Regions from separate parts of the Mus musculus genome. Here all the other regions are reported to be linked to region 1. The links are microRNA targets in miRTarBase. Many come from high-throughput screens and were not tested one by one. Region 1 holds a microRNA gene; each other region holds the end of a gene's coding sequence. Distances are from middle to middle.
What was found. Region 1 holds the annotated microRNA mmu-miR-1903 (CCUUCUUCUUCUUCCUGAGACA, at 3,029-3,050, opposite strand). A microRNA usually pairs through its seed, bases 2 to 8, with sites in the 3' UTR of a target mRNA and lowers its output. Matches are read on the target gene's strand: a 7mer-m8 pairs with bases 2 to 8, a 7mer-A1 pairs with bases 2 to 7 and ends in A, and an 8mer does both.

Region 1 (4,087 bases):
TAGATCGCTACTGTCACTCTCTATTATGGGTTTCGCACAGGAGAGCCACAGCCTGCAAATGCCACCCCATTTATTGATGCTTAATTTTAGGCAATAAAAATTTGGTGCATAAACTATGTAGGAAGTACAGGTATGAAATATTGAAATGTATAAGCCTATCAATCACAAACATCCAGTAATGGTATATATAGATTTTAATATTACATCTAATAGATTCCCTGTGGAAAGAGAATGGCATTCTTTGCTCTCAGCATGAATTTATAAATCTAAGGAATTTTATTACAGGAAAACCAGGTCAAATGGAAATGAAAGATGAAGTGCACATCAAAAATGCATAAAGCTACATGCATTACAGAAGTCATTTCCCATAAATTAAAAAGAAGACAATATAAATTATGTTGTTTTCTCCAATTGCTAGATGTTTCTGGCTGTTTCTTAGATTGGAGTGGGTTGGTCCTACAGATTCGCTTCCCATTGGTTTTTAAAAGCTTTAGGTCTTCAAGAAGAACTAATGTTGCAACCAACGCTCAGAATCTCAGCTAATGACGTTAGCCAGCTCAGTGGTGTGATTCTGCAGAGGCTCTGGCATTATTTTGTTTTGTGCAGAAATCTTGGAGAGTGACCCCCTCAGCCCCACCCCCCAGCTCATTAAGTCACTCCAGCTCTGTGTAGCCACCATGGCATCTGTTAGGAGAGAGAAATAAAACAGTCGACAGATAGTCACTTCAGAAGACAGTGAGGTGGGGTTGGTACCATACCAGAGCACTTTAATCTGTGACTTCTGAGAAAGTGACAGTGTAATAAGATAATGTGGACTGCTGGACTCCCACACTCTGTTCAGTCTCTCTAACACTTGATTAGGAGAGAGCGATTCCTAATGACTGTGGACCATTAGTCCTAAATAAGGTTAATGAATTAATTTAGTAGACACTTACTGGGAGGAGGTGGATATGGTTTTAAGAGGACTAGAGAGTTACTGAGTCATGTGCCAGCCCTGGCCACCTCAAGCATAGCAATAAGGTTTCAGTTGAGTGGAGTCCAGATTCTCAGCATCCCCCACATTTCTGCTAAGAAAATTAAAAAGTGTGTGTGTGTGTGTGTGTGTGTGTGTGTGTGTTGTTCAGTACCACACAAGTCTTAATGCTCTTCACATTGGTTATTATGACCATCTTTTGGGTACCCCAACATGGCTCTAACCCAGTGTTGTTCTCTATCTGTGGGTTTCAACCCCTTTGGCAAGCCTCTTTCTCCAAAAATATTTACATTACGATTTATAACAGTAGCAAAACTACAGCTATGAAGTAGCAACAAAAATAATTTTATGGTTGGGGGTCACCACAGCATGAACTGTACTAAAAGGGTTGCAGCATTAGGAAAGTTGAGGGCCTCCACTCCATCCTTACGCATTATGAAGGATAACCGTTTGAGTTCTAAACATTTGAGTTCTTTCTGTTAGAGGAAAAAGATATTTCATTCCCTGCCAGAGTATAGAAGCACTCCACCAACTCAGGTTCATTAACAAATTGAACTCCACATTCATGATTTTTTGAGTGTTTGGCTTCCCTTCCAGAGTATATAGGAAGATGCCGCCAACTCGAATTCATTAATAAATTGAATTCCAGCCGTGTTCACAAAAATTTTGCATATCTTTTGAGAACACTGCTTGGTACCTGTTGGGGGAGATCTATAGTTGAAATCACAAAACCTGGGGAAAGCACATTAAGGAGATTAACTTCTATCATAAAGGAGTGATTTAAATTCTTCCTGGTAGAGCCCTCCGCTCAGCTCTTATTAAAACAATATACTACAATAAGTGGTAGATGCACTTTTCTCCTAATTACTTTGATTGAAATCTGAGCCAGACAAAGTAAACATTTAGCTATTAGTTAATAATAATGATGAAGATCTACTGTTCCGATCAGCCCTTGCCTAGCCTTCAGCACCTTTCCAGGGGACGTGGAACACATTTGTACCAGATCCCATTTTAAACACACTCTTTATGTTCCAAGGCACTGTTTATACCCAGGACTGCCTTTCATTTACTTAACAGTGAGTGGTTTTAAAAGCCAACTGGAAGCTGCAACAGGGTTACGAATTCTCAGACACGCTGGTACCTCACACTGAATAGATCCAAAGCCTTTATTGACAGTGCGACTTTCATTCATACTTCAGACTGATCACAGACGGTTTACAAAGGCAGCGGAGAGTTCCAGCGCCAAGACTGACCGCTATCTCTCTGTGTCGCCCACCAGAGGAAACCGAGCAGGGGTGTTTTGAGGAGAACCAGGAAGTCCTCCCGGTGAAGTGTTCATTAACTCTCAGCAGCCATCAGATTTTTGAAAGGGAGTCTCATTTAATTGCCTCTGGGAGGAAACATTATTAAGATAATTGGTGTGCTGATCTGGGAAGGTAGGCAGCTCTGTCTCGAAACAGAGGCAGGAGAAGCCAGCAACCAACTGGAGCAGGGGGCCGAGGGTTTGTGGTCCTCCTGCCCCAGACGCCCTGACTTCTCCGTTCCTTGCGCAGGCAAGTTTCCTGCGCCCGGCAGCCGTGCGCGCGTCCCGTGGCTGGGGCTGGAAGTCCCGTGGCTGGGGCTGGAACCCCTTCGCCCGAGGGGACTCGGCAGCCCCGGGCACTCTGGTTGCTCCCGTCTCCGGCTGTCACTTACCGCTGCGGAAAGCGCCCGCCAGGGCGAGGGCAAGGGCGAGCGTGGCGCACAGCAACGGCAGCCCCCTCTCCATCCTCCTTCGCCAAGCCAGTCCCCAGGCAGCCGCAGGAGAACACGATTGCGCGGACGAAAAACCAGCAAACGATAATCTTAACAATCCGAAACGCTCTTAAGTCCGCCTAAGAACCAGAAAATCCTCAGCGGGTCTTGGCGGGGAAGGCTAGCGGCGAGGCAATGCCTGAATTCGCGAGAAGCGCTTTTCTTTTTGTGTCTCAAGTCGCCTGCATCCTGTCATTTAGCTCCGATTTCCTCTCCCTTTTCCCACACTTGTTCCTCTTCCAGGAGCCACTGCCCGGGCCATGTCTCAGGAAGAAGAAGAAGGAGGAAAAAAAAGAGGGGAGGAGTTGCGAGGAGGAGGGGAGAGGGCGGGCGACACACCAAAGCCAATTTCTAGAGGGAAAGAAAAAAAAAATCCCGCTTGATTCTGGACGGGTTGGAGCCGAGGAGCTGGCGCCCAGAGGAGGTCCGGGTTGTCTGCGGGAAGGAGAGAGAGCAATGAAAAGATGAGCGGGAGAGCAAGGACTTTCTCCACTGGCACCCGCCTCTCTCTCCGACCTCCCCCTCCCTCCCAGAGCCCTTCCCTCCCTTCCTCCCGCCCCCTCCCCGCACAGCTCTGCCAGTGATTGCCTGGCTGGAGATTCAGAGACACAAGTTTCTCTCCGCGTGCTTTCCCGGTTGGTCCTCTGGGCTCCCCCCTCCACCCCACCTCCGGGTACCCTGCTGTGCTCTCCGCGGGAAGAAGGTCACTAGGGAGCAGGTTGTCTGCGCCCAGAGCGCAAGGTCACGTATGTGTGTCAGAAGGGGCAGTACAAGTGGTACCAGCCCCAGTGGCAGGCTAGTCTACCTTGACGAGATCTCTGCACCCCAGAACTGAACTAGGCTGCTCGTGTAGGCGAGGATCCTGGAGTCAAGGAGTTCCGAGAGACCGGGGTTAGCTGCTACTTCACGGAACTCCTAATCCCTAGGTACCGGCGCCCCCGGAGGCGTGGATCGCGCTGTCAGTCCCCGCTTTCACTTCCTGGGTGTCAGCCTGAGGTTTGGGGCAGGAAGCAGTCGGGCGCTCCAGGACGCTCCGAGTAGGACTTAGACTAAAAGAAGAACGCCTTGGTTGTTCTGCGAGACACGCTGTTGATCTTAGAGAACTGTGACCCAGTCTGCCACGTAAAGCATAGGCAGACTTTCTTAGAGCACGGACCCTGGCTGCAGCGGAACAAGGTCTCCTCGCCGTGCATAAAGGCGAGGATGGGTACCTGATACCCCCATCCCCACCCCTGACGCTTCAGGCTGCATTGTTCCCCGAGATTTGGTCCCCTCTTCTTTGGGGTTACATGAGCTCGGAGGATGGATGGTGGCGCGCCT
Region 2 (4,087 bases), not on the chromosome of region 1:
TAGTGTACCCTTCCCCAGCCTGAAGTGCAGCCCAGAGTCTGGCATTGCCCTTCATGTATCAGGTACGACTCCGTGGGCAGTGACCTCACTGTTCCTTTACCTTCCAGGTACGTGCGGCTCTGCGAAGTGGTCGATCACGTCTTCCCATTGCTAAAGAGAAGCCATTCCTGTGACTTCCCCTGTTCAGACACTTTCAGTAACTTCACCTTTTGGAGAGAGCCACTGCCACCTTTTGAAAACCAGGACATGCATTCAGCCTCAGCTTGACGCGACCGAGCATTAAAGGATAGGTTGTGGGGACCCTGGAGCTGCTGGGAAGGCTGATATGTGGCCACCTGCCTAAGAGAGAAGCATTTCTCCCTCGGCTCGCTCGCTCGCTCGCTCGCTCGCCCCAGGGTGACACTTCTAAGCATGGAGGGCGGAGAGAGGCTGCATCTCATCCCATAGGCTGCAAGAGGATTGGGTGCACTAGGAGTGTGCAGAGCAGCCCTCTGTTTGGGTTTAGCACACCTCATGCTGCACCCTCCAGTCCCGTCTGCTCCAGCAATTAGTTAATGTGCAATACGGGTGATGACCCCTTATCAGCGGGCAGGCCACCTGAGAGCCTGTCTCAGTATCACTGTGCCCCTACCCCCTGGAACTCTGATGTGCATAGGGATCAGTAGCATCAGGGACACATTTCCACGACAGAGACATCCATGCCACCTTCTGCACACAGGCTGTGTCCCGAGTCTAAGTGAAGGGAACATGGGCCTCGCTGGGTCTCAGCCCTAGCCTTGGCTTTGACTTTTTAGACGTTCCCTTGCAGTATTGCCGACTGTCTCACTTTAGGTGATAAGCTCTTTAATTGCTTTGGTTAAAGGTGGCCTGTGACGCAGCTGCATCTCTCCCCATTCCTCATAGCTCAAGGCTGGGCTATTTATGCCTTAACGCATCTGCAGCAGGCATTTCCTTAGCGTGCACTGTCTAGCTCTCCGTAACTGCAATGCCTTACCTTACAAGGGTAGTCCCTAAGGCAGCGTGTGTCCGCGGCATCTCAGCACCTTCTGCGTCCTGCTACCCAGCAAGGAGGAGCCACTAGTGTGGACTCAGCAGCACTTACGCCCACCAGGAAGGATGCCGCTAAAGACACTGGTTGTTTTTTTTTAAGAAACATAGTTTCCGGAAGTTAAATTATTTTCTTTGCAGATATTATTTATTTCTTTACTGTCACTGGGCTGCTGTTGTGAGCATCCTAGCCAGATCCTTAGGCTTATAGCCGTCATGAATGCATTAAAAGTTAAGTGTGATAGACAGTCCAAAGAGCCTCATTCTGTGGATGTCACACTCTGATCTTCTAGAATCTCCGAATCACTCATTTTTCTTAGTTTTTTTTCCCCCCACAGTCTAAGGGAAAGAAAAAAAAGTAATAATTTGAGCAATGTTCTTTAAGCTGATAGAAGGTTGCTGTGAACTGTCTCAGAACAATGTGAAAAATGAAAAGTATTTTGCTAAAAGAGTTGCTTTACTTTGAAAGTATTATTTTTCTTAAAGGGTGTTTTACTCCAAAGACAGATCTTTCTATTTAAATTTCATTGTTAGGGTCAGAGGAGACAGGAACAAAAAAAAAAAAAAAAAAAGGAAAAGATAGAAAGAAGAGTTAAAAAAGAAAAAAAGCAGTAGAATGGACTGTTACTCTTTCTGTGAAAGAAAACCTAGAGTCACTGCCCTTGTAGTCACTGGGCTCTGTTAAGGTCTCATGTGGTCCACATAGTTCACAGGAATGTAATGAAAGCCACTGTCATCTGCTGTGGGCGCCCACTGATGGAGAAACTCGGCCCTGAGTGTGTGGCTCCCTCTGGGAGTCAGGAAAGCCATTAAGCTCCTGGCTTGTTCTCTCGTGACCTTTGGAGGCCATGGTAACCCTTCTGCCACCACGGTGGTTTTGTGTGTATTTTGATTGCTGTGGACTGTATACGAGCTCACTGGCCTGCAGAGGTTCACGGCCGTCTCCCTCATGCCCAGGGGAAGCTCTGGCATCTCTTTTCAAATGCCCTCTGCAGCCCGCTGTCCAGGTGGCTCCCTGATGCCATGTTAGGACTTGAGCCAGAGTCTCTATAGCCAAGGCTGGTCTACAATGCACCATCTTAGACATACAGCAGTCCTTCCACCTGGCTTGGGAACCTAGTTTTGATATACCTTAAACTTCCCTGTCACTCTACCCTGAAACAGAGCACACCTCCCACAAAACCACACTCTATGATCTCTGTGAAAATCTTCAGGAGCCCTGTCCAGGCAGTGATGTGGACGTCTACTGTTAGGCTCCCTGTGAGATCCAAATGAGAGCTGCACCCCGGTTCTCTCAAGTTGCTTATTTGCATCTGCACTTAAACCCAGAGGCCCCAAGGTCACGTGTTAGGATACTATATGGGTACCATACATTTCAAAGTTGCTCATGGAAATGAGCGACTTGCTCCATAGTAACATGTCCTCAAATGGCGATCCCACATGATGAAGGAGAACCCACCTGGCGCATCTGAGACAGGCTTCTGTCGTCAGATACTTTCCTTTTGGATTTCAGGTTCGGATCACTACTTCAGAATATTTTACTTACAACGTTGGCTGTGTGTTTGCAAATGCCGGTGCGATGATTAAAAAAAAAATCAATATAATATTTCACTGTGTTGTGCTTGATGCAGAGCTAGAAATTTCTGTAATAAACAAGATGGATGAAAGACTTCTGAAAATCAGGCATATGAACTTTAAATTATTTTTATAAGTTCTTAAGGTGCTCTTATTTTTTTCTGGTTTCTTATATACAATACTTAGTTATTTACTTGAAGGGGGAAAAAACCCTTAGTGTGGGCTAGGGAAATGGCTCAGGCAGTAAGAGTACTTGCCATGCAAGCAAGCACATCCAAGTTCTATCCCCATTATCCATGAATGAGGCCTAATGACAGTGTGCATTGTTATACCAGTGCCCGGGAGATGAGGATGGGTGGATCCGTGGTGCTGGCTAGACAGACAGCCCAGTAGAATCCACAAGCCCCAGGTCCCAGTGTGAGACCCTTGTCTCAGGACTGAGCCTGAGGAGGAACAACACTGGAGGCCCTGGTTCCTACATGTATGGGCATATAAGTCATGCACATCCATTCGACGGTCTGTACACAAATGGACTGGGAACACACATAAAAAGACTCCTTATGGCTATGAACTCTTCACTATGGGAGTAAAGACCTTTGCTGTTATTTGAGTTCATACAGGTATCATACCAACCCCGTTTACTCCTGAGAGATATGAATGCGTCCTTTCCACTAAAGAGATTGCATGTGGTCCTTGCACAACCCACATTGGATCATCAAGTTGAGAGACCTGTTTGAGATACCATGGCTCCTCTCTGGCCTGGAAGGAGTGTTGAGGAGCCAGGAGGCAGAGAAGAAGGTTCAGTACATAGTGTTTCACAGGTCCTGTTTGCCATGTTTGAGGTGTCTTCACCTCATAGACCCTGTCCCCCTCTTTTGGATATTTGTCCTTAGTTTTTCATTTTGAAGGAGTCCATCAAAGCCCTTGACTAGTTTGAGCTGAGGTTGGTCATATCCTATTAACACTGTACTAGCAATGGCCGGAGGCTTCCTGCGGATTGCTGTGTTGGCCTTGGTGATTATGGAGGGCATGGAAGAGTATCATCCTTAAATGCTAATGGCACTTCTGGGTAAAAACTGAAGAGTCCAAATTCTAACAGGTCCCCGGGTGTCTGTAGATTCAACATGTTACAGACAGAAGAAACCCTCGGACAGCTCCACAGATCTATGCTACCTGACTGCAGTGTCTGAGGCTCTCTTATCTGAAATAAAAACCAGGATAAACTTGTCTATAGGCCACTCATTCATCTGTGTTCTCTTTATCCTTTGACACCAGACCTCCATGGTGGTACCCAAGGCTCTCCTGTGTCCCCGCAGTTCATACCCCCATGCAGACAGAATGAGTTTTTGGATGCCTAGACTTTCCCAGAGACGAGCTTTGTTCACCTGGGAATTTGAAGGGCTTGGTCTGGTTTCAAAGAGTAACACATTCCCATTTTGCATCAGAAGCCAAAAACTATTTGGGT
Region 3 (4,087 bases), 22 Mb from region 1:
TCCGAAGGATGAGGCATGGGGACCCCACGTTTGAGGTCAGTCTGTACCCCAGAAGACCAGGAGACGGTGAGCTGGGTCAGTGGTAAAGACTGTCGCCATCAGGCCTTTGGCCTTAGTTCTACATCAGGCTCCACATTGCAAAGGGAGCGCTGACTCCTATATGTGTGCTTATATAGACACACAGAGACCCTGAGGAAGATGCAGGCAGCCATTTGTGCCCACACACTCTTGGCTGCCTTTGTCCTGAGGCCTCTGCTATCTTTTGACTAAAGGGGGAGGGTCTAGGAGCTATACTAGGGTCTGGAAATAATGAGGCACAGACTTAAAAATCATAGTGAGGTGTTGCGGGCAGAAACCACAAAGGAATCTTATGTGGGGCACAGCCAGCTCCATGCTCCAGGTTGGAAGGTCCCTGCATTATCTTACAAGGACGCCAGAGACTGCTTCCCAGTAGACATGTGCTCATGACCCCATCTCTCCATCCAGGTGCTGAGCGACGTCCTCAGGGATCTCTATCACTTGCTGAAGCACGTGGTGCGCTTGGAACCTGATGACGTCGCCAAGCTGCATGCCCAGCTGGCCCTGGAGGAGCTCGATGAGATCATGAGGAACTTCCTGTTCCCGCCCCAGAAGCTGGAGAAGAAGATTGTGGTCCTGCCATAGACCTGGTTCACAGAACATGGAAGAAGGCAGGGGAAACCAAGCAGCCAAAGCAGTGGTCACACACCTCCCAGCAGGTGTCTCCACCGCCTCCTTGGTGCAGACCTGAGGTCTGCTATAACCTGAAGGTAGCTATACGGTGCTGGCACCACTTGGGTGTTCAGGGCTACCTTTCTAGAGCGTCCATTTGGTCACTCTGCATCTGGCCCAAAGCTTGTGCAGTGAGAAGGGTGAACCCCATCTAACTACACCCTTCATCGTCCCAGCCTTTAGAGGAGGCCTGTGTATAACTGTGGAGCATTTTCTTCCGGCTGGAGAAGCCGCCCCACCCCCCTGGTCCCACCTTGATATCCTGTCATAGGGAGATGATTCTGCCTGTGATGAGGGACAGGCAGAGCTATCATCTGGGTGTGCAGCTGTGGGGAGGGGAAGGAAGCATTGCTGCTTAAACTACACAATACGAGAGAATAAAAGAATAAAATTACCTTGGCTGGAATGATCAGCCAATGTGAATGCTGTCACCGAGCTGGTTGACTTTTGCAGAAGAAGAGTAAGCCCTGTCTGTCCTCTGGGGCCTTTTTTCTTTTTATTGCTCCTCTGTTTTTACTTGAGCTGCCATTCAGTCTTCTGCACCTCTCAGGGTGATGCTGTGACAGTGGAGTGGTCTGAGAAAGGCAGGCAGGGCTTATGTGGCACAGGAGTGGCCTGCCACCAGCTCACTGAAACAACTTCAGATTTAGCACTGTGTTCATCCGCTCTTGGATTTATGTATTTTGGTATTTTCATTGCAAAAGACAAGAAAGGGTTAAAAGAAGAAGAAGAAGGAAGAGGAGGAGGAGGAGACTGGGGAGATATGGAGATACCTTAGTCCCTGAAGTACTTATGCAAACTTGAGGACCTGCGCTCCATCCTCTGCATCCAGGTAAAAACACTGCTTGAGGTGGCATGTGCCTGCAGGCCTAAGGAGCAGGGGAGGGTGCAGGGACAGGTGCATCCTGGAGGCTCACAGGCTAGCCAGTCTAGTTAATTAGTCTGTGAGCTCTCAGCCACCAAGAGACCCCACCCCCATCCCTTTCTCTCTCTCTCTAAAAAAAAAAAAAAAAAAGGGCAGCGCCTCCTGGGAAACAGCACCCAACGTTGACCTTTGGCCTACACACACACAGACACACACACACACACACACTTACATGCTCGTACAGTGTCTGTTCAACTCATGAGCCCACATGAACATACGCATACATGAACATATATACACAGGCACAGTGTGTGTGCAACTTCGTCCACATGGAACGGAAAGGAAAAGGAAGCAACTGGCTGCTTCCGATAAGCCCGCTCTGTAGCCTACGCCTTTATAAGATGAATGCGGTGTTCATCGATCCCCAGCATCACAGAGATAAGTATAGGACTCTATCTCGGGACTTTATCTATCTCCACTTTCTGGGGTATCCTGATCTAAAGGAAGCAGAACTGTGACAGTGCAGGAGACTATGGAGTGACATTCAGGTGTTCTCGCCTGTTGGGAGCAAGCCAGATTACACAGCCTTCTCAGCTTAGCCTTCCCAGTAGGCATCGCCAGAAAGGTGCCAATCACTGATACAAACCACAGGCAGTGTGTCAAGCAAAGGATCAAACAAGGCTGCCGTCCGTGGCAGCACGTACCTCTGATCCCAGCACTCATGAGGCAGAGACAGGTGGACTTCTGAGTTCGAGGCCAGCCTGACCTACAGAGTGAGTTCCAGGACAGCCAGGGCTACACAGAGCTTGAATGTTTTGAAGGAATATTTCTATTCAGCTAGGGTAGCAGTATTAGTTTATATTTTTTAAATCAAGAGTGCCTATAAAGTCAGGGTTGGAGCTGCTTAAGCGAGTGTTACTTAGCCTTTAGAATACATCCAACCCAAGGCTGGAGAGATGGCTCAGCAGTAGAGTACACACTGATCTTGCCGAGGACCCAAACTTGGTTCCCAGCCCACATGAGATACTCACAATGGCCCGTGGCTCTGGCTCCAGCCGATTGACACCTCTGGCTTCTTAAGAGTACCAGCACTCAAGCCGGGCGTGGTGGCGCACGCCTTTAATCCCAGCACTCGGGAGGCAGAGGCAGGTGGATCTCTGAGTTTGAGGCCAGCCTGGTCTACAAAGTGAGTTCCAGGACAGCCAGGGCTATACAGAGAAACCCTGTCTCGAAAAACCAAAAAAAAAAAAAAAAAAAAAAAAAAAAGAGTACCAGCACTCACATGTACATAAACACACACACACACGTAATTAAAAGTCATTTTAAAATTATATATAATATATTTTAAAAGATAGAGCCTGCTTCGCAGGCCGAGTACTGTCCACGGCGTTTAGGCCAGTGTGCCTGAAGGTGTACACTGATGACTTTAAGATCTTCTCCATCTGAACACGTCCACCCCTCCCAGCCTTAGTCTCTTTATCTCTCTGTATAAGTGGACTCTTAGTTTGAACTGCTATCAAAGGACTAGAGTATTTGATTTTATTAATTTTTGGTGTTCTCAATTTGAGAGAGTAATTTTTTTCTTCCGGACTTCATTATCAAATTCAAAGGGAAGATGATTTAGTGACACCCTTGTAAGCATGACCAAATTATTAAAAACTGTCAGATAACTCTTCTAAGTCAGGCATGGTAGTTAACACTTATGACCATGGCGCTCACAGGGCTGAGACAGGAGGGTTTTAGTGAGTTCAAAGTCAAATATGGGCTGTATAGTGAGTTCTAAGACAGCTTGGATCACAGTATGGAATTCTATCTGAAAAAAAAAATGAAATCCTAGGGCCTGAAGATGTCACTGAGCTGCACACAGCGTTGGATTCAATCCCCAGTACCTCAAAAATCGGACACCATAGTGTAGACCTGTAATCCCAGCACTTTGGATAAAAAGGCAAAAGGATCATAAATTCGGAGCCATCCTCAGCTACATAGCTAACCTGGGCAACAGGAGACCCTGTCTCGGTTATAATTTTTACTGTAAATTTACTCATGTGTTTCTGAATGAAAAGCTCTAAGGAACGAGAATAATGGGATAGGAAAAGCACAAACGTAACTTAAAGGGTCCATCTGGGCCTGGTGACACAGACCTGTAATCCCAGCTCCTGGGGAGCTGAGGCAGGAGGGTGTCAAGCTCAAGGCCTGCCTGGGCTGCAGTGAGTTCATGGAAACCCTGAGAGGACAGGAGTCCTACCTCACACCTACCTCTATGGGAGGTAGCAGCATTGCTCAGCCTACATGAGGCCCTACACGCAATCCCCAGCCCTGAAAACAAACAAATGGCATGAACCCCAAAGCTGGCACGCGGCCGGAAGAACCCTGCTTGCTTGCATGATGGATCCTGAGTGGCCGAGCTCTCTGTCCCACCTCTGACTGTTTGTCCTTTCTCAAGGGGCAGTCCTCTTCTGCTTCCCCTATTAG
Region 4 (4,087 bases), not on the chromosome of region 1:
CTAGTAACTGAGCGTTGACTGTATGGTTTCCCTCCTCAGAGGGCTGGCAGGCGCCTTCCTCCTTCCCTTCCTGTTCCCTCTCCCTTCCTTTAATGTTGACATCAGACACCCACCTGCTTTGGAATGCTGAGGTATAAGCCTTTGACACAGGGAATCAGTCTAGATCCTGCTTATCCACAGGACTCTGTATTTTTATGTCTTCTGATTGTGGTAGTATTAAGGAAGGCACAGCCTAGCTGGGACAGAAAGTAACTGAGGGTTTTGGCTAAGAGAAGAGGGGGCTAGAGATGGGGAAGGTTGATGTAATTATTTTTGGCAGGAGTTGGAACCAAAGCAGCAGGAGAGAGTAAGTTTTAAGACTCTCTGGCAAAGCAACTTTCTAATCTGTCACTGAATATGTGTAAAAAAGTGATTAGTAGGTCTCTATATTTACCATGATTACTCACAAATATGTAATTTACATAATATATACAGCACATTAAGTACTATGTCACCTTATATAATGTGCATATGTGTGTATATATATATATATATATATATATATATGCATGTTATATAATGCCAGTCTGGAGGCTCTGTAAGGTTCTGCCAAGTATTTCCTAATTTATTTGGGAATTTAACGTATTTTTTCCATCTGTAGAATGAACTCTCTTGAGAGGAGTTGGTCTGTGACCTGAATATAATCTTTCTACAAATTCTCTCTCCGTTCCCAACTCACCGGGGAAACCCCATGAAAACCACACCACACTGAACCACGGCTCCTAACCCACCAGCCCAGCGACAAGGTGCACCAAACGTTTCCGGTTTCATTGTTTTTATTGCTAGTGGGGCGGAAGCAGGAAGGCAGGTGAGAACAAGTCTGCAGCGTGAGAAGAATATGAGCAGGAGAAGAGAGGAGAGACTAGGCTCTCCCTTGACCACGGAGCTTGAAGAAGCTACTAAACACCAGTAAGCCCCCCCCCCTCTCCTCTGCAAGGTGGAAATAATAATACTTTGCTGGCTAGCCGTAGAGCTTGGTGTGGGAGTCACTTGGATGATGCACTACACAATAAGAAACCACAGCCATGGTGTTTAAAAGATGATTTGTAAGGTAAGATTAAACAACAACAAATTAGAAGTGCAATGCCACATTTTATACTCTGTGCCTTTGAAAAGAACTGGGCTGTGTTTCTCAAGAAACATTTAACCTCTGCAGGGCCCCATCGAGAGACTCGTGAGTCCGTTTTACCTACTGATAGTATTGTCTCAACATCTGTGACCTCGTGGGGGTCAGAGCTGAAACATATACAAACACTTCTGTGAAATTTTTAGAATCCGTGACCTTGAAGTTGAATCTGCCTCAGTTTCTGAATCAATTGTCTTCCAAAGTAGTGCTTGCTATTACTCCGGAGCTGGCTGGTCACATCTCTAGGCATCCCACCAGTATGCTCTTTATGTGGCCTGGTGTCTCCCTTGCTCAGTAGAAGCATGTTTGCTGAGCAGGAGGGTTCCAAGTCTCAGCCCTGGATTCTAGTTGAGAGTGCTTCCTTCCGAGGTGGGCTCAACTTGTACAGATTCTTCATATTCCCTTCCTTGGCTATGGCAAGACTGGAGGCAGCTCAGTGGAGTGATGTCAAACTGGGCCTGGATTTCCTCTTAAGAAATTTGAGACAGAAATGAAGGTCCAGGGGAGCCAGGGGCCTGAGGCAACTGTTGCTTTCTACCAGTGATGCTGTATAGAGTTGCCCTCCAGAGAGGAGGAAGATGCTGGCACCAGCTGACTGAAGCCCACTGAGCAGGGCCAAAACTCTTCTGTTCTGGTTGGCAACATCTTACAGAAGTCACAGATGTACCCAGGAAGGTATCCAAAGCAAGAAGATCGGTGACATGATGAGATGACATAGTAGTTCAATCAATTGATCTGTCTGGTGCCTTTAACATCAGGCCAACTTCTCTCCATGTAGGACAAGCCATAAAGCACTTGGAAGTTAGCTCAATTCTCCACCTCCCATTTTCTTGTGTGGGCTTGCTCCATCCACACACAGGCTATAAGATGGTTCCTTGCTGGGAACCTAGATCCAACATCGACCAATCCTCAGTGACAAGAAATAACCCTTTCCCCAGATGCAGGTTCTTCTGTTTGTTAGTGACCTTCTTAGTAACATTTACAGTCAAACCTCCTTATCCACAATAAAATGGAGAAGTCTTTAACTTTTCCACAACTCAGTTTCCTTATCAACCAATGGGGGGGGGGGAATGAGGCTTGAACAGCACGTGTTCATAGTTGCTCCCCGGATGTAGATAATTCTCATAAACCTTGAAACCAGCCAGAGAAATGTGTCTCTACAAGCAAACGACAGTGGAAGAGTAAGGGCCTTCTTCTTTTTTCTTTCCCATGTCCTGTTCCCACACTATGTTTATTTCTAATCAGGAAAAGTCCAGCAGTAAATAAATATTTATATATTATATATAAACAAATACGCTACATAGGTATGTAGAGAAGACCATCAGAAGGCCCCTCTGCCACACTGTGAGAGTGAGATGTGCAAACAGGGAGTCCCGTAACAGTCTCCTGGTTTTCCCAGCAAAGTCCCCCCAAACCCATACCCCCATCGTCTCTGCCACCAGGGCTTGGGATTCAAAGTGACACACTTTGGCTTGTATGGTAGTGAGGAGTGGGGAATACTGGGAGTGTTTTTTTTTTTTTTTTTCTGTTTCTTTCCTTTTTACACAATATTATGACATCAAATTTGAAAAATAAAGTCCACTTTCTCAGCTCTTCCTCCCAAGTGTTCATAGGAACTATGAAAATAAATACCACATCTAAAGCACGCTGCCCGGGCAGCCTTGTTTGCTCTCTAAGCAAAACAGCCACCAAGAGATGCTTCAGGAAGCGAACAAGTACCCATGGACAGCAGAGGGAACCAAGAATGGAAACGGCTTTCCACAGCTTCTTGGCTTTCCCCTGCAAGTTAAGGGGGGAGCTGTTACTTGAAGGACAGCAAAGCAACCATCCTGTGCTCGCCGAGCCCTGCCAAGGCTTCTGCTTGCAGAGCTGTGGGCTGTTTTGTTTTTATACAGAAGGACTTTTGTGCAAGGTTTCTGGGTTGGAGCTCTTTCCCTTGACCACATCCGATCTTGCTGTAGGCAGGAAACCTACAACCTGGAGCCTTACAGGAGTGTGGCACAGAAAAAGGGAGATTTCTCCTGCAGGCTCAAAGTCTACCCAAAGCCTGTGGGAATGTGAAAGTTGCTGCATGAGCCAACCCATCTTCGTGGGCCCTGAGTCCATTTGGAATATTTCATGGGTATTGGCTCTGTTAAGAGTGGATCCATTTTCAAAACAGGTAGACTGCATGGCAGGATTGCACTTTCCTCTGGAAGGTGGCTTGGCTTCCTCTGGTTACAGGTGTGTGTGTGTGTGTGTGTGTGTGTGTGTGTGTGTGTGTGTGTAGATTCTTCTTTCCTTTCTCAGTAGAGCTGGTGTTTGGCATATTGTTTAGTCTTTTGAACGGCTTTTCCTCCTCAGAGAAAAAAAGCTGCTCTTCTGGGGAGGCCCCATCATCATAGGTGCCTGGTTTTTGTGAGTGATTTTAATCTGAAAGAGGAAACAGAGATCAATTAGTGGTAACGTACAGTCTAGTAACTTCGGGCAGAGTGAGTTGCAGAGTAGAGAGAAGGCCAGTTTGGGCTCAAAGGAGCCTCACGCAGAAGGACAACTGTCCTTGAACAGTTTCAAAATTGGCAACTTGACCCTGACAGAGCCTGGAGTTTGGCACGGCTGGAAGTGAGGGGCGGAAACACCGGGGAGAGACAGGTGTGAGCTTCCCACGTGGCAATCAGCTCGCACCTGTCCTGTGTCCTTGCTATTCATAGACTGTCAGAATGTCACAGTCAGAGGAGACCTCAGGAACCTTCTCGTTCACCACTCTGTAGGATGGATAAGGAAGAGGAGCCCAGAACTCCGGCAGAGACTTATCTTAGTCGAAGGTCACATGGTGGGGTGGGGACATAGCTCGCCATGCTCCCAGGCCCGATTTCAGTCCAGGCAGCAGACGTATGTCAACCAGCTGACCTGGAGGCTTCAGTTTAACCTCTGGCCAAGAAC
Region 5 (4,087 bases), not on the chromosome of region 1:
CCAAGTCCCCTCCTGCCTGGGGCTGCCCAGGGATTGGACCTGGACCTGGCCAAGGCCTTTTGTGTGTGTCGCTGCTGCCGGGCAACGTGCATTGCTGGGAAGCCGAAGCCGCTGGAGGAGCGGGTGGGGGGGCGGGGGGAGGGGAAAGGCAAATGCAGATATATATTAAAAACAAATAATCGAGGTACCAGAGCTGCGTCTGTGGCACCAGCTAGCTGCAGGTGCAGGGGATGGCGGGAGTGAGGCTGTGTCTGCGGATGGCTGGGGTCACTTCTCTGCCCATGGGCTCCCTGCTCCCCCAGTTTTTTTTCTCTTTGTTAACAAATGTGTCTGAGTCTTGGAAAACACCCCAAACCCGGAAATGTGTGGGAAAAAGAAAACAAAAACTTTCCAAATTCCACCAGTCCTGTGTAGTTTGTTCGGGGTGGGTGCTCTCAGTGGGTGCACCTGACAGTTGCTAAGTTTCCTCTAAATACTTTGTGTGTGATGTGTGTACCGTTAGAGGACATCTTAGAGGGATCAGTTCTCAGCTTCCACAATGTAGGGCCTGAGGATGAGATTGAAGTTTCAGTCTTGATGACAAATGGCCTTGCCCACTGCACCATCACTGAGCCGTTTCCCTGAACCAGCCCTCTGACTTGAGTTGAATACAACATTGGGCTCTTGGACAACTGTTGTACGTCTGGCTTGCAAGTGTTTGCTGAGTGGGCTGAGGGTGGGAGACAGGCTCGGCTTGTGTGGGAGGGAGGGAGATTGGCATCTGGCTGGGGTTCCCGATGGCATCATGTTGCCCTCTTTTCCGAGGCTCTGCACCGGTCACTCATGTCCTACCAGATGGCTGACATCCTACCAGATGGCTGACATCTTGTCCAGTATTTGGAGGAAAGTAGTCTTTCCTGGTGGCCAAGGTGGCTGGCAGTGGCTAGTTCAGGGCCTCAAGTGTAGCAGTGGCCGAATCCCTCTGAGTACTTGTTCCTCTGTCCTGTGACTTTGCCTGCACCTCTTGGCTCTGCTTCCCAGCTCTGTAGCACGCCACCACCCTGGAGTGCTGACCACTGGGTGGCTGGCTCTCTGTGAGTGTGGCCTCTCCTTGGCCTTCTGAACCCATTGGCTTCCAGCCCCGCTTGCCATCTTGGGCAGATTTGGTCTGGGAGCCTGGGGAGGTCACACTGACTCTCCTGTGGGAGTCTGGGGAGGCTTTGACCAGGGCAGCGCTGTCCCAGGGTGTCCTGTCCCCAGCTGGTCATGGACTCACTCCTGGGCCCTGTGTTACTGTTCTCTTCTCAAAGCCCAGGCTCAGAGCCCTGTCCTCACCTGCATTGTTAGTCACAGAAAACAGACAGCGGGAGTTCCTTGGGGACAAGCCTGGAAGGAATGCCTTTACTCTCACTTCAGCCGTTGTTATGGTGACCCTGGTTGAGGCAGGAATGTACTCTAGGAGTTGAAAGGACGGCTCCATCACCCTGGTTGCCTTGTAGTTGGGGCTCCATCTCCCTCTCTGCATCAGAAGGCCAAGACCTGACACCCAAATGCTTTGTTTTCTAAAGAGCTCTGGATGTGGCTTTGACTCGGTTTACCTTTCCGAAAGAGTCTCTTGGCTCCTCCACTGTGAGGGTATCTCAGCAGCTTTGAGGTTAGAAACCTCCAAAGTAGGCATTAAAAAGAGGGTGTGTCTAAATGGGTGTGGGCCACAGCCCAGAGATTTGTCAGGTGACTCTAAGACAGTGATGCTGCCACTTCCCAGAGTGACAGAACGCTTTGTCCTGAAAATTCTTAGCCACCTGGATAACCAGGGGTGGCCGTTCAGAATCCAGACGAAGGAACGTCTCTGACTTAGAAGAATACTGTAGGAGAGAGAAACATCCATCTCTCCACTGAGCTCTGTGTCCTGGAAGTTCCTAGGAACCCTGTTGCCCCCAGGAAATGCAGCTGGGCCTAGAGCAGCAGAACAAGTTTGTCCTGAGGCAGCAGGCAGTGTAAATATAATCTTAGCTTTACCTTTACATCTGGGGGAGTGTCACTAGGAAGTGTGCGAGTGTGCGTGCGTGCGTGCGTGTGTGTGTGTGTGTGTGTGTGTGTGTGTGTGTGTGTGTGTGTATGCACGCGCGTGTGTGTTTTGTGCTTGTGTGCATGTACACATAGCCAAAGGACATAGTCTCCCAGAGGTTCAGGAGCTGCAGCCGAGGAGCAGGACTGCAGGACCAACATCTAAGACAAGGGCTGTTTTCTGTTTCGTACCCACCCTTTTTGTGCAAGTGCACACATGTGACTGTGCATATGTATCTGCAGCTGTATACATTCTGTGTATGCTTGTGTATACATGGATGTGGTATGTGTGTACATGTATGTATATGTGGTATGTGTGTGTGTGTTGCAGCCTTCCTCTGAGGTGCCTAGGAGCAGTCACACAGGTAGATGCTTGTGTGTACATGAATATGGTATGTGTGTGCATGTATGTATACATGTGTGTATGTGGTGTGTGTGTGGCGGAGGGTGAGGAGTGGCAGATGTGTGGCCCTAACCATGGTTCACAATGCCATCAGAGTCATGAGTTGTCCCTGAACCCTGGAAGGTGGGTCTGGAGGGTCTAGAGGGTGTCATGTGGGACGGAGACCCAGGCAGACATGGACGGGCACATGGAGTGAGGAGAGGCTGGAGAGGGACCAGGCCAGCCGACCGAGGCCCGCAGTGACCCTGAGATGCTGCTGCTGCTTTGCCTGTGCTGAGGTGCTCAGTTCTGAGTCGTGCAGTAGGCTGGGTGGTGGGCAGCGAGAAGGTGTCCCCTAGGCTTGGCCTCTCTCTGGTGTGCAGCTGCTGGGGAAGTCAGGGTAATGGTGTCTGGGCAGCCTTCTGTCCTTCAGACGGAATTACAGGGATAGAGCTCTTTGCTTCCCGTGGCTGTTCTGCAGGACCTGGAAGAAGCCATCTCCTCCTCTCCTCCTCCCCCTGCCCCCTCATCCCCACTTCATCCCCCTGCTCCCTCTCTTCCTCCGTCCTTCCTTTTTGTTCTCCCTTTCTTCTTCCTCATTTTCATTCTTTTAAAAATTATTTATTTGTGTGTATCACCGGGGGCGGGTATGTGTCCATGCGGAGCTCAGAGGACAACTTTGTGAAGTCTGTTGTCACATGAGTTTCAGAAATTTAGGCCCGGAGGCAGGTGTCTTTACCCGCCGTCGCCAGCCCTGCCCTTTACTCCTCCTCCTCCTCCTCCTCCTCCTCCTCCTCCTTCTCTCTCTCTCTCTCTTCTCCTCTTCCTCCTCCTCCTCTTCTTCCTCCTCCTCTTATTGTGGCTGTGTTCCTTCTCCAGGCAACTACAGCCGGGTAGACATCAGGATGGAGCCATCTGGTGTGTCATGTGTTACCTTCTTCACTGACCTGTTCAGGAAAGACAGAGATGTGTGACTCTAAGGAGCAGAATGACCCCTGACTTTTGACCTGTGTGTCCATGCCCAGGTCTGAGCACCCTGCCTGGGGCTCAGGTCTGAACTTACTGAGCATGTCAGGGTGGGGTGGGTTGTCCAACCATGTCACCACCCAATGACTTTAGTGGCAGAGTCTGCCACCTGTGAAATTCCCAGCCACACCCATCACCCCCCCTCCCCGTGACAAACGCCAGCTTGCTCACGTGTCCTCTCCCCCTCCACTTCTCTAAGGTGGACCTGGGGGTGGCTGGGCCATTTTTTCCTCCACATGGTGGAATGGAGGCTGAGGGTTAAAATCCACCTGTTACCCTGGTCTCCACTCTCCTGATGTGTGGTGTAACTCTGGTCCATGCTAGCCCTCCCTTGACTTCTGCTTTCTCCTTTGTTTGAGAAGGGTGAGTGCCCAGCCTGTTTTGGGCTTTTGTGGAGGGAGGGAGGAGATCTGGGAGATGGGGAAGGAGGGAGTGAGGAGGTGGTCTGCAGGCGGCTCCACTCACTGTTTCTGGATGTCTTGGATGGTGTCAGGCAGTGGTAAGTTCTTGGTCTCAGGCAGCAGCAGTGCAGCTAGGCCACTTAACACTGGCACCACTCCATACACCAGCAGGGGCATCCAGGAGCCATAGACACCCAGCAGCCGTACCAAAGGCCCTAGCATGGCTCCCCCT
Region 6 (4,087 bases), not on the chromosome of region 1:
TTCCACTCACAAGCTAAAGTTATAATCTATATATTTCTGATCAGCCAAGAAATCGTCAGGTTGCCATGCAAAATTTAAAATCTGTCATGCTATTAAAGAAAGAATACTGGTGATGCTGATCTTTAGATACTTTTTAGATGCCTATTTATAGATAGCCAATCAAAACGAAGAGGAACTACTGTGTTAATATGGATCACAGGTCAGACATTGTGACATGCAGGGAGCATGTCAGGGGATGCTCAGAATAAACTATAAAATAGGCACCATTATCATTTCACAGACAAGTAGAATTATACAACAGAGAAATCTTCTAACTTGTTCACTACTACAAAGCTAGCCATTGGAAGAATATGACTTAAAATAGTATATTTTTAACAGTGAAGCTTTTTTCCCTATTAAAGGTATAGAGTACATGGAAGCAGTATTCAGTAGCTTATTGGTAGCTCTTTTGCTATTACAAGTTCATTGAGTTAAAATATTCTGAGAGCTGCTCTACCTATCAGTCCCTATGTAAATCTCAAGAATAATAAGTGACCCAACTTACAGCCAGACACTAAGTGGATCTATCATGGTAGGAGCCTACCAAGACCTCATCCTGACTCCGTTCTCATTCTCTCTCCAGGTATATGAACAGGATGACTTGAGCGAACAAATGGCAAGTTTGGAAGGGCTAATGAAGCAACTCAACGCCATCACAGGGTCTGCCTTTTGACACTCATTGCCAAAACGTTGAGATCTTCTGGGAACTTTACAGCATACCAATTATCCATAAACAGCACACCTGTGTCCAAAAACTCTTACCAGTGTACAGGTCAACCATCTGGACCATTCGGTTAAGGAACATCTGAAGCACTTCAGAAGAAAACAGTATCCCATCCTATATGGACATCAGGAGTATACGATGATGGTCATGAGGTCCCGAAGATGCATCTTCACTGCAAAGTCAAGGCTGAAGCTGCTAGCATAGTTCTGGGTCTTTGTCACTGCAGGGACCATGGTGTCATAACTAATGCCTACATTTTCCTTCAGTGAGACCTTTCATTTTCTGTGTAGGTCTAGTCTCACAAGTGCATTATTTCAGCCTGTACCATGCCATAACAAATCAATACAAACTCACTATTTTTTTCAGCTACAGAGCATCCATGGTAACTCTCTCACTCCATAGCACCAAAGGATTGGATATTTTCCTGACAGCATAAAAGAAAATAAGTGAATAAGCAAAAGGCAGTGAATGCTTGTTTATAGCTCAATCATTCCATCTCACAAAAGTGGCTGATGTTAGTGAGTGGGTATAAACTTTTTACCAATTTTAGCAAGTATTTGTAAATCCATCCTTGATTAACGTTTATGTCTAGCAAGTAGAAACTTAAAAATCCTCAACTGGTGGCATCCTGCCAGCAACAACACCTTTCTAGAAGGAGAATACAATATGCAATCTTCTCAGACACGTGGTGATTGTGTACTTGAGCTTGTCATAGGACATTTTTCGATTTCAGTGGCTTCTATGCCACTCCACACTGTGATGGCCTGTCTGGGTTTCACTAAGGCTTCTTCTTCAGGAGTTTGGCCAGAAAAACTCCACCATCCTCCATCCCCAACCATTCCCCTACTTCTCCTGGGCAAGTAGCCTTAGCTAAAATGGCCAACTCCATGCGTCATATATCCTGTGTCCCCAATATCCCTCTGTGGAGATAGTAGACTTCCTGAGAGCGAGCTCAAGAAAGAAAAGGAGCATGAAAAACCATATCCCAGGGTACCTTTTCATGAGTTGATGTCCCTTCCACCAATAGCATCTTCATTGAGCGAGCTGTGCCAGGCAACATTGACAGATGTTGACCACAGGTTTCTGTTGGCAAGGCAACCTTCCATCCCATGCCTAAGACAGTCAGGGAGGAGAGAGGGATGGGTGCCACTTCACATCTGCACATCATAACTCCTGTAGGTATTTTTCCATGCAGCATCTAAACTGTGGACTAGAATTTTAAACTTCTATCGCCATGTATCTACGGCTTGAAACCAGCTGAATATAAGAACATTCTGTGCATTCCCTTTTAGCCCATGAACTTTCAGCGGTATGTGGAGTTAATCCCTATTTATGCAGCTGAGTCGCCAAGAGGGAACTAGTTTGCATATTTATCAGTTAGGTGACTTGAAAACTTGATGAGAGTTTCAGCTGAATTATTCCTTTCAGCTCTGCCTTTGATTTCAAGCTTGAGTAGGTCATAATTTTAAGAGAGCATGGCAAGGATAGGATCTTTACAACCTAATAGCTCCTTTTATTAGGTGGGTAATTATATATGAATCCCTGAATGAAATATTTTGAGCAAAATGGCACTGTAACAGAAATAATAATTCAGATTATTTTTTTACAGTTTTATGTCGGGAAGGAAATCTGATGTCAAAGAGAGGGCTTGTTCAAATGGTTCATTAGAAAGTCTGGTCCATTTGCAAAACGTTTCCTTCAACAAGAGTGCTTGTTCAATTTACTGAGATTTTTTTTTTTTTCTGGAAGTACTTTCGAGGAACTATGTGATGTTATTCAATGGGACAGAATGCTTTTGTTCAATATTTGGGCACTGAGGTAGACAGCAGTTGACTGACCTGAAATAAAGCATTTCTTATCATAGCAATGAATATTTTAAAAATAATCCACTACTTCGAACTGGAAAAATGTTTACTGAACTACCATAACTTCCTCCACTCCCCAGAGTGTATTCCCCTGTCTAATAATAAAAAGAAAGGAGAGCCACTTTTTAGAGGCATTTGATATCAATGAGAGTCACCTCAAATTTCAGGTTGGGGTTTGCTACAAACCTCAAATTTCAAATTCCATGGAATAAGTTATAATGAAAGGTGTTCTGTAACATCTAGTTGTAAAGTTAAGACAACCAGAATTTTTATAAAACTCGAGGTTTTTCAAACTTTCAATGATTTCAGGGAGTGTAATCTTTAAAAGTTGGATGTATGCTTTCCATTTTTAGTCAGAGTTATATTTCCTCCACAACTCTTGAAAAATTCAGTAAACAAATAATTTATTTTAGCAATTGGTGACTCTTAATAAGTCGTATTGTCATGCCTTGAATATACATTGGAACCATGAGACTGGTTTCATTAACTCAGTGATTGTAACATGTATTTAGTCCAACACGGCTTCTGCTGAGCTCTTGTTCCCATCATCTTTCCAGTGGCTCACGTGTACACAGTAAAATTCCCCAGGGTTCCAGGTGGCAAGTGAATTCCAAGGTCTATGACGGTGTGAGGCAGCCTGAATTTGTCTAGCTTGTGTGTCTAGCTCACTCCATACAAGACCCTTTAAACTTATAAATCTCTTTGAGCCCCACAGGGCAAAGCTGAAGAGGCAGCCAGCATCTCTGCCACCAGCAGTTAGTTCTCTGGAAATGGGAAAAAACATCAAACTTGGCAGGAGGACTCAGGATTTTATACACTATGCTCAAATGAAAAGCAAGAGCCTGCTTTTAAGAACTTTGCTATATTTTTTCTATTTCATTTTGATAAGAAAGTAATTTCCATTCCTCCAGAAATTTCTGCATTTGTTTAAACTGACAAAAATAAAGAGGGCTCACAATATATTCAAAACATTTGTATAATGCTTTAGTCAAAAGTTAAGTATTTCTTAGTGCTTATAGCTGCCTCCATATAATAGACCCATAATCTTCTAGAATATTTAAGTAATACAGCTTTATATTTGGCTCTTATTAAATACATACTCAGTTCAACAACCCAGAAATAAAAAATTCAAACCAATGCTATAAGAATCCGACTTACTTAGGGATTTCTTTAAGGAACTGGACATAGTAGTAGTAGTTTGGGTTTTTTCAAAATGAAGATTGCTAAGAATGAGGCATGTGCTCAGAAAAGGTGACAGTTACAAAAAGAGACTCCAGATTAACGTTTTTAAGCCAAAGGGTGTCATTCATTGGCTTTCCCAAGAAACAACTCCCCAAGCATGGGTCCAGAGTTTGTTCTCAGAGATGATTGTCGAAAGTTCCCTCTCCTTTGGAGCCTTCTCCTAACTTTTTTACTCTAGTCAAAAGTTAAGTATTTCCTAGTGCTTACAGCTGCCTAC

Region 2: miRTarBase lists Lpin1 as a target of mmu-miR-1903. Seed matches in the 3' UTR shown: 7mer-A1 at 1,632-1,638.
Region 3: miRTarBase lists Tango6 as a target of mmu-miR-1903. Seed matches in the 3' UTR shown: 7mer-m8 at 683-689, 8mer at 1,203-1,210, 7mer-A1 at 1,470-1,476, 8mer at 1,472-1,479, 8mer at 1,475-1,482 and 7mer-m8 at 1,478-1,484.
Region 4: miRTarBase lists Dgkg as a target of mmu-miR-1903. Seed matches in the 3' UTR shown: 7mer-A1 at 3,437-3,443, 7mer-A1 at 2,357-2,363 and 7mer-m8 at 2,355-2,361.
Region 5: the mRNA of Slc22a12 is a reported target of mmu-miR-1903. Seed matches in the 3' UTR shown: 8mer at 3,265-3,272.
Region 6: miRTarBase lists Dcc as a target of mmu-miR-1903. The part of its 3' UTR that is shown has no 7-base or 8-base seed match.

Annotation. Positions count from the first base shown.
Region 1 is chr8:128,358,214-128,362,300 of GRCm38, reverse strand. It overlaps Mir1903 (microRNA 1903), which reads right to left and starts at 3,060; the gene lies at 2,981-3,060. It overlaps Nrp1 (neuropilin 1), which reads right to left and starts at 3,228. Exons shown (of 17, transcript NM_008737.2): 1 at 2,669-3,228. The coding sequence starts at 2,741. A930035F09Rik (a long non-coding RNA gene) reads left to right here and starts at 4,064. Exons shown (of 3, transcript XR_879381.3): 1 at 4,064-4,087.
Region 2 is chr12:16,534,593-16,538,679 of GRCm38, reverse strand. It overlaps Lpin1 (lipin 1), which reads left to right. Exons shown (of 21, transcript NM_015763.4): 21 at 108-3,011. The coding sequence ends at 267. Among named protein-coding and RNA genes, the nearest start is that of Lpin1, 53 kb to the left of the region's middle.
Region 3 is chr8:106,849,693-106,853,779 of GRCm38, forward strand. Tango6 (transport and golgi organization 6) reads left to right here. Exons shown (of 18, transcript NM_173037.1): 18 at 487-1,747. The coding sequence ends at 663. Among named protein-coding and RNA genes, the nearest start is that of Gm34197, 4.8 kb to the left of the region's middle.
Region 4 is chr16:22,465,771-22,469,857 of GRCm38, forward strand. It overlaps Dgkg (diacylglycerol kinase, gamma), which reads right to left. Exons shown (of 25, transcript NM_138650.2): 25 at 798-3,577. The coding sequence ends at 3,479. Among named protein-coding and RNA genes, the nearest start is that of Etv5, 28 kb to the left of the region's middle.
Region 5 is chr19:6,532,818-6,536,904 of GRCm38, forward strand. It overlaps Slc22a12 (solute carrier family 22 (organic anion/cation transporter), member 12), which reads right to left. Exons shown (of 10, transcript NM_009203.3): 9 at 3,920-4,087; 10 at 3,037-3,375. The coding sequence ends at 3,312. Nrxn2 (neurexin II) reads left to right here. Exons shown (of 23, transcript NM_001205234.2): 23 at 1-400. Among named protein-coding and RNA genes, the nearest start is that of Slc22a12, 8.2 kb to the right of the region's middle.
Region 6 is chr18:71,255,615-71,259,701 of GRCm38, reverse strand. It overlaps Dcc (deleted in colorectal carcinoma), which reads left to right. Exons shown (of 29, transcript NM_007831.3): 29 at 623-4,087. The coding sequence ends at 712. Among named protein-coding and RNA genes, the nearest start is that of Gm41772, 610 kb to the right of the region's middle.